2 linked regions of the Elephas maximus indicus genome follow. The protein of the gene in region 2 interacts with the protein of the main gene of each other region in a pairwise test. Links are inferred from orthologs where the notes say so. Each region holds a gene or a part of one and is shown on either strand. Other genes may lie near its edges.

Region 1 (7,257 bases), on a different chromosome or scaffold from region 2:
AATTCTAACTGTTCCTTTTCCTTACTGGAATTTGACTCCAAAGCTCTGCATCAAAAATAAATGGTTATTAAAAAGAATTTCATCAGTAAGATGAAATTAAAATAGCTCTGCTCTGAAAAACATTTCTTAAAGTCAAAGCCAATAAACTGAAAACCAACAAGTCATTTTAATGTATGTAAATGTTCCATATATCATGGATTAAATGTTTTAATTTCTGGCCCGAGACTAACAGTATTCAGCCAAATTAAGACAAAATGCTGAAGATGCCACTCTCTGTAACAATGAGCTTTATGAAAATAAACTCCTAAAAGTATACTTTCAAGTTCATATACATACGCTTAGAAATAAACTGGAAAAGAGCAAATATAATTAAGAACCTATACAATTATAATATTGGCTCTAAGATAATAGCGTAAGTACCTAAAGAGCTTTACAACTCTCATAGAGCATAAATATTTCATTGGAGCTGTGGAAAGTCACTGCTTAACTTCAATAAACCCACACATAACCAAAACAACAACAAAAAACAACCAACCCCACCGCAGAGTCAATTCCGACTTATAGCGACCCCATAGGGTTTCCGAGGCTGTAAATCTTCACAGAAGCAGACTGCCACATCTTTCTCCCTTTGAGTGACTGGCGGTTTTGAACTGCAGACCTTTCAGTTAGCAGTCAATCGCTTTAACCACTGCGCCACCAGGGCTCATTAGTTACCACAAAAAGAAAAAAGAAACCTTCTTTAGGTTTCAGTAATTGTGGAATTAATTCCGGTAAAGATACTTTGGCACCAACATATATTAGTACAAAGAACCAAAACATATAGACATTTTATGTATAGCTACACAATAGTTTGAAGTAGTAACTAAAGCTGCGTCTGAAAACATAACTTTCATCCTTCAACTTATTAATACACACTAAACAGTAAGGAAATGTTTGGGAAAATTTTGTTTCTATTTATAATACTAATCCAGTCAAATACTCCTGAGAACACTTCAGTTTCTCACACATTAACTGATATTTCCCACACCTATATTAAGAATATATCGCACCCACACTTCCACATATAATGAAATGTCTTGCAATCAAATCATCTTGTGTCACAATTCCAAAAGAAGTTGGGAAATCTGTCTCTTAAACAATTAAAGACATAGAAAACTTCATAAAATTAGAGGGTAAAACATAACACTGTATCTAAGAGGTATCCACTGGGTAATAATTCCATTTACTGACCACCAGTTAAATGCAATTTTGTCCTCACATCTCTCTAAAAGGCAAGTAATTTTCCCCATTGTACAGCAGGCCAAACTAAGAGAGTTACAGACCCACAGACGGAATTCAAGTCTATCTAATAAACACCACGACTCCTGATCTCCAACAAAAATATAATCAATTTTTTAAAAAATATATAGATGGGCAGAAAACTGCTTAACTGTGTATAGCGTAACAACTCCAGAACCTAAGCAGTAAATTTACACACGTGACACTTTTAGCTTTTTGGCATAAAACTGTACTGACTTCAACTTAGTTGCTCTTTTTGCAATCGCAAATACAGAAAATGGCTTGAGAATTTATCATGCGGATTTTTGAAATGTTTAACTGCAGAACAGATTTAAAAGATTTTTTAAATATGGATATCTCCCTTGAAATGCTACTATGGGGGGGGGCGGTGAGGTGGCGTGAACAGGGTTCCAATACAACTCCTCCAATTCCAAGACTTCTAACAGAGGACCCATGAAATCTCGAGTTGGGACCGAGCCAGAATCTAAAGAGCTCTAATCTTCACCACCAAAGAGACCTTAACGTGCAATCTGCATGTGCATGTGTGTTGGGTGGCTGGATTCGTGATACATGCAAATAAAAGGTTTAATAACTCTGGAGGGAAAAGAAGCAAAGAATTCGTTTTCACCACTACTCACCTCCGAAAACTGCGGCAGGCGAAACCTGATACTTTTTTTTTTTTAAGGCTCGCTATCTCGGGTTACCACCTCCTAGACCTTAGAACCTAACCAGGTCTACTCAGGTCCAGACGCCTCATCTCCCTCCCCCACCTGTAAACCTACGCCAGAAAGCCCGGCTCGCTCCAGGGGCCGCCGCGACCTCCCCTCCCCCTCCGGCCCCACTACCACGAGCTCCCAGGCCGAGGCCTCCGGCGCCCCGCGGGCGTGCTCCCGCCATCTGCCACCAGGCCCTCGGCGTCCAGCCACTGCTTCCCATCCTCCCTCCACAAAGCCGGTGGCCAACTCCGAAGGGTCCGGCACGACGCACGCGTCCGAGGCCGGAACCCTGGGCCCTATCGCGCCCGCAGCCCACAGGCCGCACCTCGCGCCCGCACTCACGGCGCCCTCGTGGGTGAGCTGAAGGCTCTCCCCGCCCGGGCGCGTCGCAGGGCTCCTCTCGGGGCTGAGACCCGGTTCCGCGCGCAGCGGCCGCCGTGCCGCCCCCACCGAGGCCCGGCGGGCCCCTCACGCTCCCCGAGGCCCGCGCGCGGCCGCCCCCGCTCCACCCGACCCCAGGCCCTGTGTTCCCCGCCGCTCGTACCGTCTCCTCGGGGTCGATGTCGATCTTAAAGGTTTGCTGCTGGAGGGTCTTCAGGGTGACCTGCATGGTGCCACCGCGCAGCTCCACTGCCGGGCCTGCTCCGGGTGCTGGCCGCTGGGCGGGGTCTGTGGCCTGGCCGGGCCCTGGGGTCGCCGGCGTTCCTCGCACACTCAAGAGGAAAGCGGTGGGGGTGGGGGCTTGTCACATTCGCCCTGCGGAGCGGCCTCTCCCCCAGCCCTGGCCCCAGGCCGAGCCGCTGCCTCCGCGACCGCGGCCTTCCACGCGAGCTCCGGCCGCGTCCGGCGTCAGCCACTGAGTCTGCAAGAGGTGCGAGGGGCTCTGAGCGACAAGCAGGGAATCCGCTAGCTCACCACACGACGGTCGCCGCCATCATCGTGACTCGCCGAGACGCACCCCCCTCCCCCACCCGAAAAGCTGGGGATGGGGACGGGCTGGCGAAGCGCGCAGGCGTAGGGTGCGGCGAGACTATGCGCATGCGTGGTAAAGAACTCCGCCCCAGAATTGGGGGCGGGGCGTATTGCTGCTCTGGAATGTCGGCGGCCGGGATCCGGCGTACGCAGGCGCACACCGAGGACGTCGCTTGGGCTCTCAGGGCTTCCCTGTGGTGTCTGCAGCCCGGGTGTTCTCCCAGCCCGCCGCCGCCCCGCCTACGCCCGGAGCCCCCCCGACCGCCGGAGTTGCGCAATTAGTAGCCGGGGAATCGCTACGTGGAGAGCGGACCAAGTGGGTGCTGAGCTCCGGAGCTGGAGAACTAGAGGGCAGTAGATCGGGGCGGAGTTTAAGTGAAAGGGTCCAGGTAACCACCGAGATGGGCCCCTGCTACGCGCCTGAGGCTATGTGATGTTGACTGATTCTTTAATCCTGAGAGCACAGGCTACGTACGATGCTAGACTGCCCGGGCTCACATTTTGTCTTCTCTTCTTACTAACCTTCTGAACTTGGGCCGAACTAGAAGGACCTAACGGAGGTTAAGTTACGTCACTCCTTTGCGCAGAAATCTCCGGTGATTCCCCGTGTCACCCAACGTAAACTCAAGGTTCTTACAAGTGGCTACTAGACCCTTAGTTTGCATCGCATCTCCTGTCTCTTCCGCTTGTTGTTGATGGATGCTGAGCTCCCGCCGAAGGGCCTTTCTTTGCACTCTCTTTTCCCACACCCTGATGGCTCTTCCCCCAGATATCTGGATGCCTCGCTCTCTCTTCTCCTTCACATCTTTGCTCGAATGTCACCTCAGTGAGGTGTGTCCCGGCTACGTTATTTAAAATCGCAACCTCTCTAGCTCCGTTATCCTGCTCTATTTTTTTTTCTTTCAGGAATATTTATCACCTATACATATGAAAACCCTGGTGGCGTAGTGTTTAAGTGCTATGGCTGCTAACCAAAAGGTTGGCAGTTCAAATCCACCAGGCGCTATACGAGCCTTGGTGACCCAGTGGTAAAGAGCTCGGCTGTTAACCAAAAGGTCTGCGGTTCGAACCCACCAGCCGCTCCTTGGAAACCCCTGTGGGGCAGGTCTGCTCTGTCCTCTAGGGTCACTGAGCCGGAATTGACTTGTCAGCAACGGGTTTGTTTTTTAAACTACATACAGTGTATATGGTATTATGTTTATGATCTTTCTCACTTTGCCCCTTTAAACCCCAGACTGAAACTGCACCAAGGCAGAGATTTTGTTTTGTTCACCGATGTATTCCTGGCATCTGAGAAACATACTTGGCACATAGCAGGCAGGACACAGTAACTATCTGTGGTGTGGGTGAGTGTGACTCAGGTTCCTCATCAGGAAGATGGGGGTAATAAGAGTATTCAACTCATTGATTATTAGAGGGAGTGGTGAGTAATACAGCATATGTAAAATCTTAATGCCAGGAACATAATATAATAAGTACTCCATCCCTGGATAGGTATTATTGGTATACCTAATTACCAGTGAGGAAACTGAAGGACAGAGATGTTACGTAAAGTGCAAGTCACCCAACTAGTAAGTGGCAGATCCCATAATTTAAACTCAAGCAGAATGACTCCAGAGCCGGTGGTTTTAGGTGCCCGGCTATTCTGCCTTGTTTTAGGGTTCCTTGTTGCATTTAGGAAACCCTGGTGGCGTAGTGGTTAAGTGCTATGGCTGCTAACCAAAGGGCTGGCAGTTCAGATTCACCAGGTGCTCCTTGAAAACTCTATGGGGCAGTTCTGCTCTGTTCTACCGGGTCACTATGAGTTGGAATTGACTTGACAGCAGCAGGCGTTTTTGTTTTTTGTGGCATTTAACTTACAGTGAGTGGCTCAAGTATAAAGCAGTCGAACCCCTTTGTGACCAGTTGCAAATTACCTCTCTGGACCAGCATCCTCACTGATACAATGTCACCCCTTGGTTTTCCATGGATTCTAGAAGCTGGCATATAATTCTTACATGAATTCCAACCTCCCTCATTTTTAACCTGGTATTTCCCCTTTCACAGCACTTATCTCACTGCATTGTAATTAAAATATCTAATTCTCTGCTCTCTAGCCTCATGACAGCTACTCTTGGTCAACAGGTGATTTCATTCTGTCTTATTGTTTTGAAATACCTCCAGCCTGAACCTCTCCCCTTAGCTACGGATAGAGTTAGCCAATTGTCTGCTCAATGTCTTCACTTGAAATATAACAAGCCTCTGAAACTTAACGTGGCCAAACAGAACCACTGATTTCCTTCTGCAGCCCCCATCCCTAACCTGCTTCTCTCTCAAGTTTTCCCTATCTTAGTTAATTGCATGACTCTACCATCTACCCAGGTGCCCAGGCCAGAACTCTAGTTGTCATCCCTGATAAGTCTCTTTCTTCCCTTCCTACCCCACAGTCACCACATCCAATCCATTATCAAGTTCTGTCAATTTTATTCTCCAAATGAAATTTCAAATTCAGCCATTTTCCACCATTTCTACTTCTACAATCCTAGGCTATGCCACTATTTTCCTTCACTTGCCTCCCAACTGGTCTGTTCACGTCTACTCTTTTCTCCCAGCAGCTTCCCCAGCAGCCAGAGTGGTCTTGTTGAACCATAAATCTGATCATGTTACATCTATACTTAGTACCTATTTACACTTGAGAATAAAATGCTAAAATTCTTTAACTAGCCTTGGAGACTACACATCATCTGACTGCCAAATTAGCTGGCTTCATCTTTTTCCTTCCGTCTCCCCATCAATCACTGACATCCTCTGCACTGCCCTTCTCGCATCCCTCAAACGGGGTAAACTAGTTGTAGCCTTAGGGCTTTTGCACTTGAGGTTCCTTAAGTTTGAAACACTGTCTTGGTAAACCTCTGAATGGCTAACTCCTTTTCATCATTCAGGTTCCAAATCAAATTTTACTTCTTTAGAGGAGATTTCTCCAAGACTGTAGTAATATATGATTAACATATATAAGGGAGTCCTGATGGCACAGTGGTTAAGTGCTTGGCTGCTAACTGACCAGCTGCTCCATGGGTGAAAGATGTGACAATGACAGTCTGCTTCCATAAAGATTTATAGCTTTGGAAACCGTATGCATCAGTCTTGCCCTGTCCTATAGGGTCGCTATGAGTCGGAATCAACTTGACAGCAATGGATTTGGTTTTTTTGGTAACATGTATAAGCCCTTACTTTATGCAAGACCCTGTTCTAGCTACTTCAATTGGATAATCTCATTTAGTCCCCCACAAAACTCTATGAGGTAGGTACAACATTACCCTGGTTTGAATTTTTCATGACTCTTCCTGAAATTACTATTTTTTCAAATTTGTCTATTGTCTGCCTCATAATCACTGCTCTCCTTCCCTTTGTGTCTGCTTCCTAGGGAAAGGAACTCACTGTCTTATTCACGGCTGTATCCCCAGCACATAGAATAGGCTCTAGAACACAGCAGGTGCTCTGTAAGCATGTACTGACGGACTCCCAACTAATCTCCATGAGGCTAGGTGTTGTGTCAGTCTTGTTCATCATGCTCTTTTCAGAGTTTAGCAGAATGTGGGTGTTGAATATTTGGTGGTAGAAAAAAAGAGTGGTCACTTTATAATTTATAATAGGTGTAAGAAAATAGATGAAAACATTTTAAAACTGGAATATGCTGTATAATGTTATTATAATATTAAATCCTTCCGCGCTAAAACTACTGTTGCCTGTCTACAGAAAAAAGTGGGGGGGGGGTAGGGTGAAGAGAAGATGCTTCTCCATATATTTGAATGTGTTTTTGAAAAAAGCAGTCTTTTGCTCCTGGAAAAATAGTAATTAAACAGTATAGAAAGGGGTCAATTGAAAATAAAGGTCTCCCCCATCCTCCCCTCAGAAATAACCATTGTTTTGAGTGTTTTTAGAAATTTTCTAAGGGTATACAATAATACATGGCCTCCAATAGTTGTGACAAGAGTAGATTTTAAATGTCAATGAATTAAAAAATTCACTCAGTAAAATTTTCTTTAAAATACAGTCTTAAGATAGAAAGGTTTTTTTGTTGTTGTTTTTTTGATTTGTGAATTTCTAGCAAAACTGCATACCAGCCACACCCACTCTTGGCCCAGTGGCACAAATTGGACAGACTTTGTCTCCTTGTGGGATGTAGTTGCCTAAACCCAGATCCCAGAGTCCCACAATTCACATGTTAGGGCTCCCCAACCCCCACCTAAAAGCCACTGAGGTGAGGGTGCTGGTGAGCAAGGCCCTGCAGGATAGGCCCTGGGCCTCTCTC
Region 2 (7,978 bases):
CTAAAAAAAAAACAAAACAGCAATTAATTGCCATTTAGTATTAATGTTTAGATTGACATTGTGTGCCCTCAAGTCCATTCTGACTCAGCACCCTGTATGACAGAATACAACTGCACCACAGGGTTTCCCTAGGCTGTAATCTCTACTGGAGCAGATCACCAGGTCTTTTCACCTGCAGAGCGGCTGGTGGGTTCCAACCGCCACAGAGCACTGCTCCGCCAGGGCTCCCTTAGGGCTTTTGTTATGGGTTCAGCAAATTACAGCCTGCAACCAAATTCAACTTGCCCCAGTAGCTAAGAATGGCTTTTAAATTTTTAAATGGTTGGGGGAAAAAAAAAAAAAAAAAAAAACCGAAGAGGAATATGTGACAGAGACCATATGTAGCCCGTGAAGTCTAAATTATTTACTATCTGGCCCCTTATGGAAAAAGTTTACTTCAGGTAAAAAGCATCATACACATCTTAGATGCTCAAGGAACTCTCCTGATTCAAACATTTATTGAGCACCTACTATGAGTCAAGGCACTATTCTAGGCACTACCCACCCACCTACTGCCGTTGAGTTGATGCCGACTCATGGCAACCCTACAAGGTTGAATAGAGCAGAACTGCCCCATAGAGCTTTCAAGTCTGTAAATCTGTACAATAGCAGACTGCCACATCTTTTTCCTGCATTCTAGGCACTCAGGATATATACGTGAACAACTGCTTACAGTTTAGCTTAATAAAGGGTACTCAAATAAAGGGTACCCAAACTCTGAAAACAGGGAAAGCAACACTCCAAGTGGAAGTGGCTGAGAGGTCCTCTGCAGGCTGGTATCCCTACCAACACAGCTTCATCGTGGCAGAGATGGCTCTCTGGCTCTCCAAGCCCAGGGCCTATTGTTGTTAATGGCTGTCAAGGCACCCCCAACTCATGGTGACCCCATGCACAATGGAATAAAACGCTGCCCAGCCCTCTGCCATCCTGTGATTGGTTGCGGATCAGACCATTGTGATCCACAGAGTTTTCACTGGCTTATTCACAAACCACCACTGGCAGACAGGTAGTGGCTGCATGTGTGGTGCTGCAGTCAGGAGCTGAACTCAGATCTCCGGCACAGAAGACAAGACTATCTTACCACTAAACCACTGATGTCCCCAGCACAAGGTCTAAGCACAATTAAAGATATGTGGCGGGGGGGGGGGGGTGCTCTGAGAGATGGGAGAATATGTGATTAAAGATGAGCCGTATGGTTACATGTGCTTTCCATATTCTTGAAACATGCCTGAAGAACTTTAAGAGCCTTTATTTGCTAAGTACATATTATAAACAGATGACAATAAGAGGAAACAGATGCCTGAAGTATCTGTGCAGGGGATGGCATCCTAATCTTTACGCCTAAACACGTTGAGAGTGACTTCTTTCAGGTAAGTAGTTTTCAATAGGCTGGGGCCCAGGTTCCTTTAGTCCCATGGTCCAGCAGTTACCTTCACTGATATATATCCAAAGTAGGTAACAATCAGTACTGTTAAAAATACACTGCATGAAATGGTATATGAAAATGTTTAAAGTCTTCCATGTTGAAAACACCTGGTGCTACACCAAAGCTTTGAAAATTAACAAAAATATATACATGCAAGTTTCTCTAATCTTTACCCAATCTCCTGAGCCAAGCAGCTAAATCTCTCTAGTCCAAGATTCATAAAATACGTCAATCAAATCAAAAGATTAGCTATAACCATACCACTGAGTCCTTCCTCTCCGCACACATAAAAATCAACCAACTTGAGCTCCAAAACTTTCTGAAATGTATTCTATAAAAAGCATTCCCTTTAACAATTTGTTTAAATTTATACTATAAGTCACCTTGCCTCTTTTGTTTTTCACTGTCTCGTGTGTGTGTATTTAAAAATGTCTTCCACCATGGATCATTCACAAGTATTTAATACGATAACCCTTCGCGCCTACTAAATAAATAACAGCCTCACAGCCACCCTTTCCAAACATGAAACTATTATGAAACAAGATGCCATCTGCCAAAGTTGTCCCAAGGAAGGTTTCACTCACACCCAATGCCTTGATAATTGTATGCGAGACAAGACCAGCTTCTCCACATAACACAAGCAGCATCATTCAATTACGTGGCCATTGAAAAATCAAAGCAAGAACAGGCTAGGCGGACCACACCAACAAAATTATTCCAGTCCACCCCTAATACCTAATAACAAAGCTGGCCTCCTGATGTAGGAAGATGGAAATAGCAAACGAAACTAACCGCAGATATCCCATAACAAAAACTCTTGTGACGACTTACTTCCCTGCATGGGATTTCCGCCTCTACTTCCCTAAGTGTCAGGCCCTACGAATGGGCGAGCTAAGGTTCCTGACCTGGAGAGGCTCAGGAACCTAGCGCGGGAGGAAGCCAGGCACATAACCCCAAAGATCTAATTGTATGGGAGATTCCAATATAGAACTGAGGCGCCCAGAGAAGGAAGTGAATTCTGCCAGGGGTGGGCGTGGGGAAAAGCGGGGGAGTTGGGAAGGGCTGGGGGAAGTTTCCGAGAGGTGACTCGGGCTACAACCAGGGAGCACAGGGGAGAAGGGAATGGAGAAGAGTTTCCCCGAAAAGGCTACACAAAGTGCCGGAGAAAGGTAGACGCTGACCCACTCGGTGCCGCCGCCGCCTCCTTCCGTGTCCCGAGGCGCCCCCTGGCCTTGCCCTCACTCCCTCCCGAATCCCCGGGCGTCCCGGTCCGGCTCCTCGGCGTTTGTAAAGCTCCCCTCCCAGTGCCGAGAAGACGGGCGGCTCGAGCGGCCCGCACCCGGAGAGGCCGGGATGGGGGCGACTCAGAGCCCCACCCAGCCCTCGCAAGGCGGCGACACCGCACCCCTCGCCCGCCACCGCGCCGCAGACAGGTCCCCACCGAACGCGGACACTCACTTTCTCGTGGAAGATGGACTCCATGTTTATTTGTCTGGAGCCAACGGCCCCCGCATCGAACCACCCCCCTCCGGCTCCGCCCCTCCGCCCCACCCTCTGCCTACCCCGCCCCGCCCCACCTCGTCCCGCCCCTGCCCTCGTGCCTTACGAAGACCAATCACCCTCGAGGATGCGAGTCACGTGGAGCGAAGAGCCAGTGAACGCCAGGGCGGTAATCGCAAGGGCACGTGACCTTTGTAGCGTGTCCTCCCAGTTCCTGATACCAAGCCGGCTGAGGGTTGCCGCAGCGCCCCCTGCGGTCTGGAGGCTCTTCTCTTCTTCTCACCCATTACTATGGATTCTTAGGCTTTTCCAGGTCTAGATAAGGACCACTCGGATTCTATGTTCTTTTTTCTTTACACTTTGCTTTGAACTTTCTACTTATCACACCTACGATAATTATTTATTATCTTTTCCCCCCTCCCACTGCAAGCCTCATTGAGAAAAAGGCATCATTGTATCCCCCAATACCTTGCAATGATGTGAAAATGATATTTTTATATATATATATATACATTTTTTTTTTTATGGGTTAGGAAACCCTGGTGGCTTAGTGGTTAAGTGCTACTGCTGCTAACCAAAAGGTCGGCAGTTCAAATCCACCAGGCGCTCCTTGGAAACTCTGTGGGGCAGTTCTGCTCTGTCATATAGGGTCTCTATGAGTCGGAATCGCTCCGATGGCAACAGGTTTTTTTTTTATGGGCTAGATTAAGTGCTAGGGCTATTAACCAAAAGGTCTGCCCTTGGAATCCACCAGGCTCTTCTTGGAAACTCTATGGGCAGTTCTAATCTGTCCTTCGGGGTTGCCATGAGTTGGAATCAGCTCAACGGCAACGGGTTTTTACTATGCTGGTACAGTGGTTAAGAGCTCAGCTGCTAACCAAAAGGTCGGCAGTTCAAATCCACTAGCAGCTCCTTGGCAACCCAACGGAGCAGTTCTGCTCTGTCCTGTAGGGTTTCTGTGTGTCGGAATCTGGTTTAATTTTTTACTATGGGCTAGGCTTTGCATACATTAAAAACCAAACTTATTGCTGTGGAGTCAATTCCAACTCATAGGAATTGACTGTAGAACACAGTAGGACAGAGTAGAACTGCCCCACAGGGTTTCCAAGGAGCCATTGGTGGATTTGAACTCCAACCTTTTGGTTAGCAGCCGAGTCCTTAACCACTGTACCATCAGGGCTCCTTGCATGTATCGGTGACTCTTAACATAGCAACCTCTGATGTAGGCAGGGGCCAATTACCCAATAAGGAAGGTTAGCACGGGATTACTTGTGTTTACTTACTAATCTGTAGTGAACAATTTCACATGGGTTTCACCACATCTTTGTCTCCATATCACCATGTCTTTGTGTGAAATCCTTGTGAAATTGCTCACTATAGATTTGTAAGCAAGCACAAGTATAAGTAAACACAAGTAAGCCCATGCTTACTTTGTTTACTGGGTAATCCATCCCCGTCAGGGATTACAAATCTGAAAAGAGGCTTCAATTCTGTAGGAAGGTGCTCTGGGGTGGAGGGAGGGACAGATGCCAGCCATATGCAGAAGTAGAATCTTTGATGTGGTGGAAAAAAAATAGCTCTTTTCAGATGATCTAGTAAGCAAGGTAAGCATCATGCTTACTTTGCCTTTTGGATAATCCACCCCTGGATTTAGCTATTACTATCATCTCTATTTTACACGCTGGGCGACTGGGCTATTTTACACATAAGGACGGAGATGGAGGCACAGAGATGTTAAGAACAGCACAAGTCCAAGGTCACTAGCAAGTTGCCATGAGAGGGTTCGAATTCAGGCAGCTTGTTCTGGTGTTGGTGCTCTGGTGCTAAAGAGGAAGCCTTGATTGGAAGAACTGAAAAGTCCCATAAAGTATGTGTATGTGGTGGAGGAGATGGGGAGGATGGATAAAGCGGAAGGGGTCAAATAGCAGATCTTGCAACTTGAAGCCAAGTTAAGGAATGTGTACTTTTTAAGGGCAGCTGGGGAGCTACAGCTTTTCAAAGAAGAGGCATGCTCAGATTTGCATTTTACAGAGAACACTCTGGCTGTAGAAGACAGCAGTGCCAAGAAGTCAGCTAACATGAGTTTACAACAGCCCACTAGGTTTTGTTGCTATGCAGACCATTGGTAACTTTCGTGATGCAGGTTCAGGGGGTAGAGGGGACAACAGGAGGTAAGGAAATGGAGACTGCATGTGTTCAAGAGGAAGATCCAGTTACCATTTATTGAACACCTCTGGGCACACAGTTCAGCGTACTGTTTGGGAAAAACAGTCCCTGCTCTTAAACTGTGGCCTAATGGGGAAACAAATCACAGTTCTCATTAAAAAAAAAAAAAACTCACAAGCCACTTTTTCTGTTTTAAAAAAAGTGTGCATCCATGTGAGGAAATATTTATTTTTTCACGTACGTACATGATTAACGTGCTTGGCTGCTAACCGAAAGGCTGGAGGTTTGTGTTCACCTAGAAAAATTCCAAAAGAAAGTCTTGGCAATCTGCTTCTGAAAAACCAGCCGCTGAAAACCCCATGGAGCACAGTTCTACTTTGAAACACATGGAGTCACCTCACCATGAGTTGGAATTGACTCGATGGCAACCAGTTACTGGTTATACATTACACATTACACAAGCCAGAGGTTGAGATGGGAAGAGAACTAGGCAAAAGGGGGACAGAGTGGGAGGCTTTTCATTGTATGCAATTTTATTCTTGATCTTTGAACTATATTATTTATTTCAAAAAAAATTGATGCGATTAATTGCTTAAAACCAAAACACCAAAACCATTGCCATAGAGTCGATTCAACTCATAGTGACCCTGTAGGACACAGAACTGCCCCATTTGGTTTTCAAGGCTGTAATCTTTGGGGAAGCAGACTGCCAATCCTTCTGAGGAGTGGCTGGTGGGTTTGAAAGGTTGACCTTCCAATTAGCAGCCAAGTGCTTAACCACTGCACTGCCAGGGCCCCTATTAATTGCTTATGAGGATGTAAACCCCTAGAGGACCTTACTGTTGAATCCTCAGCACCTAAAACAGTGTTTAGCCAAAAGGCACTAAATATGAATTAATGCTAATCATTTCATTGATGTGTGATTAATAATAAATGTCATAAAGTGAAAAAGGTCAACACCTGGGAGTCAGAATGCAAGTTCTAGTTTTGGCTTTGGCACTTAAGCCACGTATAATTTGGGGATTAGATCCATTGTTTTCCCTATTTCAATTAATGCCTCCACTTCAAATTCAGCATGTCCTAAACTCTATTCCACTTTGAAAGAAAAATCATACCATCCTTCAAAATTCAATGATCACACTTTCCAGGATGACTTTCTTGACTTCTGAATAATTTAGACCTCCAAGTCGGAATCAACTTGACAGCAGTGGGTTGGCCCCTCCTCTGAATTTCTGTACATGCATCTATCATACATAGTACCTTTCATACAGTATCATAAAGTTTGGTTTAATCATACATCTGTCAATATCCTATAAATATCTTGATGGCAGGCCTGTCTTAATTGACTTTGTGTCTCTAGTGTTTGATGTCTGTTGAATAAATTAATGAAGGCAACTATCTGGGAATCATTCTTGATTCTTTACCCCCTCCCTGCAACTGTTCCACATCACCCCTTATTTCAATCAGTCCTCGAATACTGTGTTCTCACCCGTCTCTCCCATTTGTTTTCACTGCTGTTGCTCAGTTCAAGCCCTCTGAGTGCCTTGTGTAGTCTAGTCTAAGGATCTCTAAATTGGCCTTCTGACTCCAGTCTCTATACACCTGAGTCATAGTTCTATCAGTGATCTTTCCAAAAATGCAAATCACACCAGTTTTCCTTTCATTCAACAAATAGTGTTTCTATACACCAGTCACTGGGACTATAAGTACCTGTGGGGTGGGGTGGGGTGGGGGGAATTGACCATTTGATTTAACAGTACCATGGTTTAAAATGAGAAAGAGAAAATTAAATGCTAACTGTAAACTTAACACCAACGTATACAATTAAAAAAAAAGAAAATTTAGGTACCCAGTAATTGTGTTTTTAATGAATGGATTTTAAAATTTGAAAATTATTTTAGCATAAAAAGAATCACACTCCAAATTCTTCAAATAATAAACATGTTTTTATTTTTCTCATAATATTTAAAATATCATTTACATTTTGTAATTCAGCCACAGCTTTTACTTCCAGGTAACTTCTTCATTGGGTTTCAATTCCCTGCGTGGAAAAAAAGAAGGAAAAGAATAAATAAAACTTTTATAAAGAGATAAAAGGGGAAGTTAAAGGAGTGTGAATTCAATGTTATATTCTATTAAGTTGCCCCATTTTTAAAGCTTTACATGAGATTCAACATATTCATCCTATTCCCTCACGATTTTACTCTACCTTCAACTGCATTTTTCCCAATTAAAAAACTATAATTTCTTAGTCTAGCTTTATATGAAAGCTATTATCTTTTCAATGATTCCATTTAATGTTTTCTGCACCCTTTCCAGCTTGTTTTCCCTTTCTTGAAATCCTTGATGTGTGACCCACCTCTACGTATCAACTGTGGCCAACGCTCAAGTCTTTTGCTCCTTGAGCATCCTCCTGCCCAGTGTGCACACCTACTGGCAGATATCCTGTCTAGCTTACTCTAACTCTCTGCTGCCAGAGGAGATGTCTTCAGAGACATAAGGAGGCCAGGCAGCTGACAACTGCTATTCGATCACTCAACCACCATGTCTCTTTAAAGCACTCTTGTGGAGAACATAGCACTTGGCTGTAATCTTTATGGAAGCAGATCGCCAGGTCTTTCTCCTGCATAAATGCGAGATGGGTTTGAACTGCCAACCTTTTGATTAGCAGCTGAGCTCTTAACTGTTGTACCCCTGCGGCTCCTAACGCCACTATCAATACTACAATCTGCTCCTGTAAAGATTATAGTGTAGAAAACCCCACGGGGACAGTTCTGCTCTGTCACACTGGGTCACTATGAGTCAAAAATCAACTTGACAGCACCCAACAACATTTCAGCTACATCC

Evidence for each region.
Region 1: the proteins of ATXN3 (region 2) and RAD23B interact in a two-hybrid assay, tested with the Homo sapiens proteins (2 studies listed by BioGRID and IntAct). The link is inferred for Elephas maximus indicus from reciprocal best matches to the Homo sapiens genes ATXN3 and RAD23B.

The regions. Positions count from the first base shown.
Region 1 is NC_064827.1:56,779,849-56,787,105, reverse strand, and holds the start of RAD23B (UV excision repair protein RAD23 homolog B), read right to left. Parts: upstream 3,020-7,257; 5' UTR 2,605-3,019; coding exon 2,539-2,604; intron 1-2,538. UniProt on the Homo sapiens protein: Multiubiquitin chain receptor involved in modulation of proteasomal degradation. Binds to polyubiquitin chains.
Region 2 is NC_064828.1:105,675,653-105,683,630, forward strand, and holds the start of ATXN3 (ataxin-3), read right to left. Parts: upstream 3,001-7,978; 5' UTR 2,948-3,000; coding exon 2,924-2,947; intron 1-2,923. Other genes in the region: NDUFB1 (NADH dehydrogenase [ubiquinone] 1 beta subcomplex subunit 1), read right to left, coding at 7,136-7,172. UniProt on the Homo sapiens protein: Deubiquitinating enzyme involved in protein homeostasis maintenance, transcription, cytoskeleton regulation, myogenesis and degradation of misfolded chaperone substrates.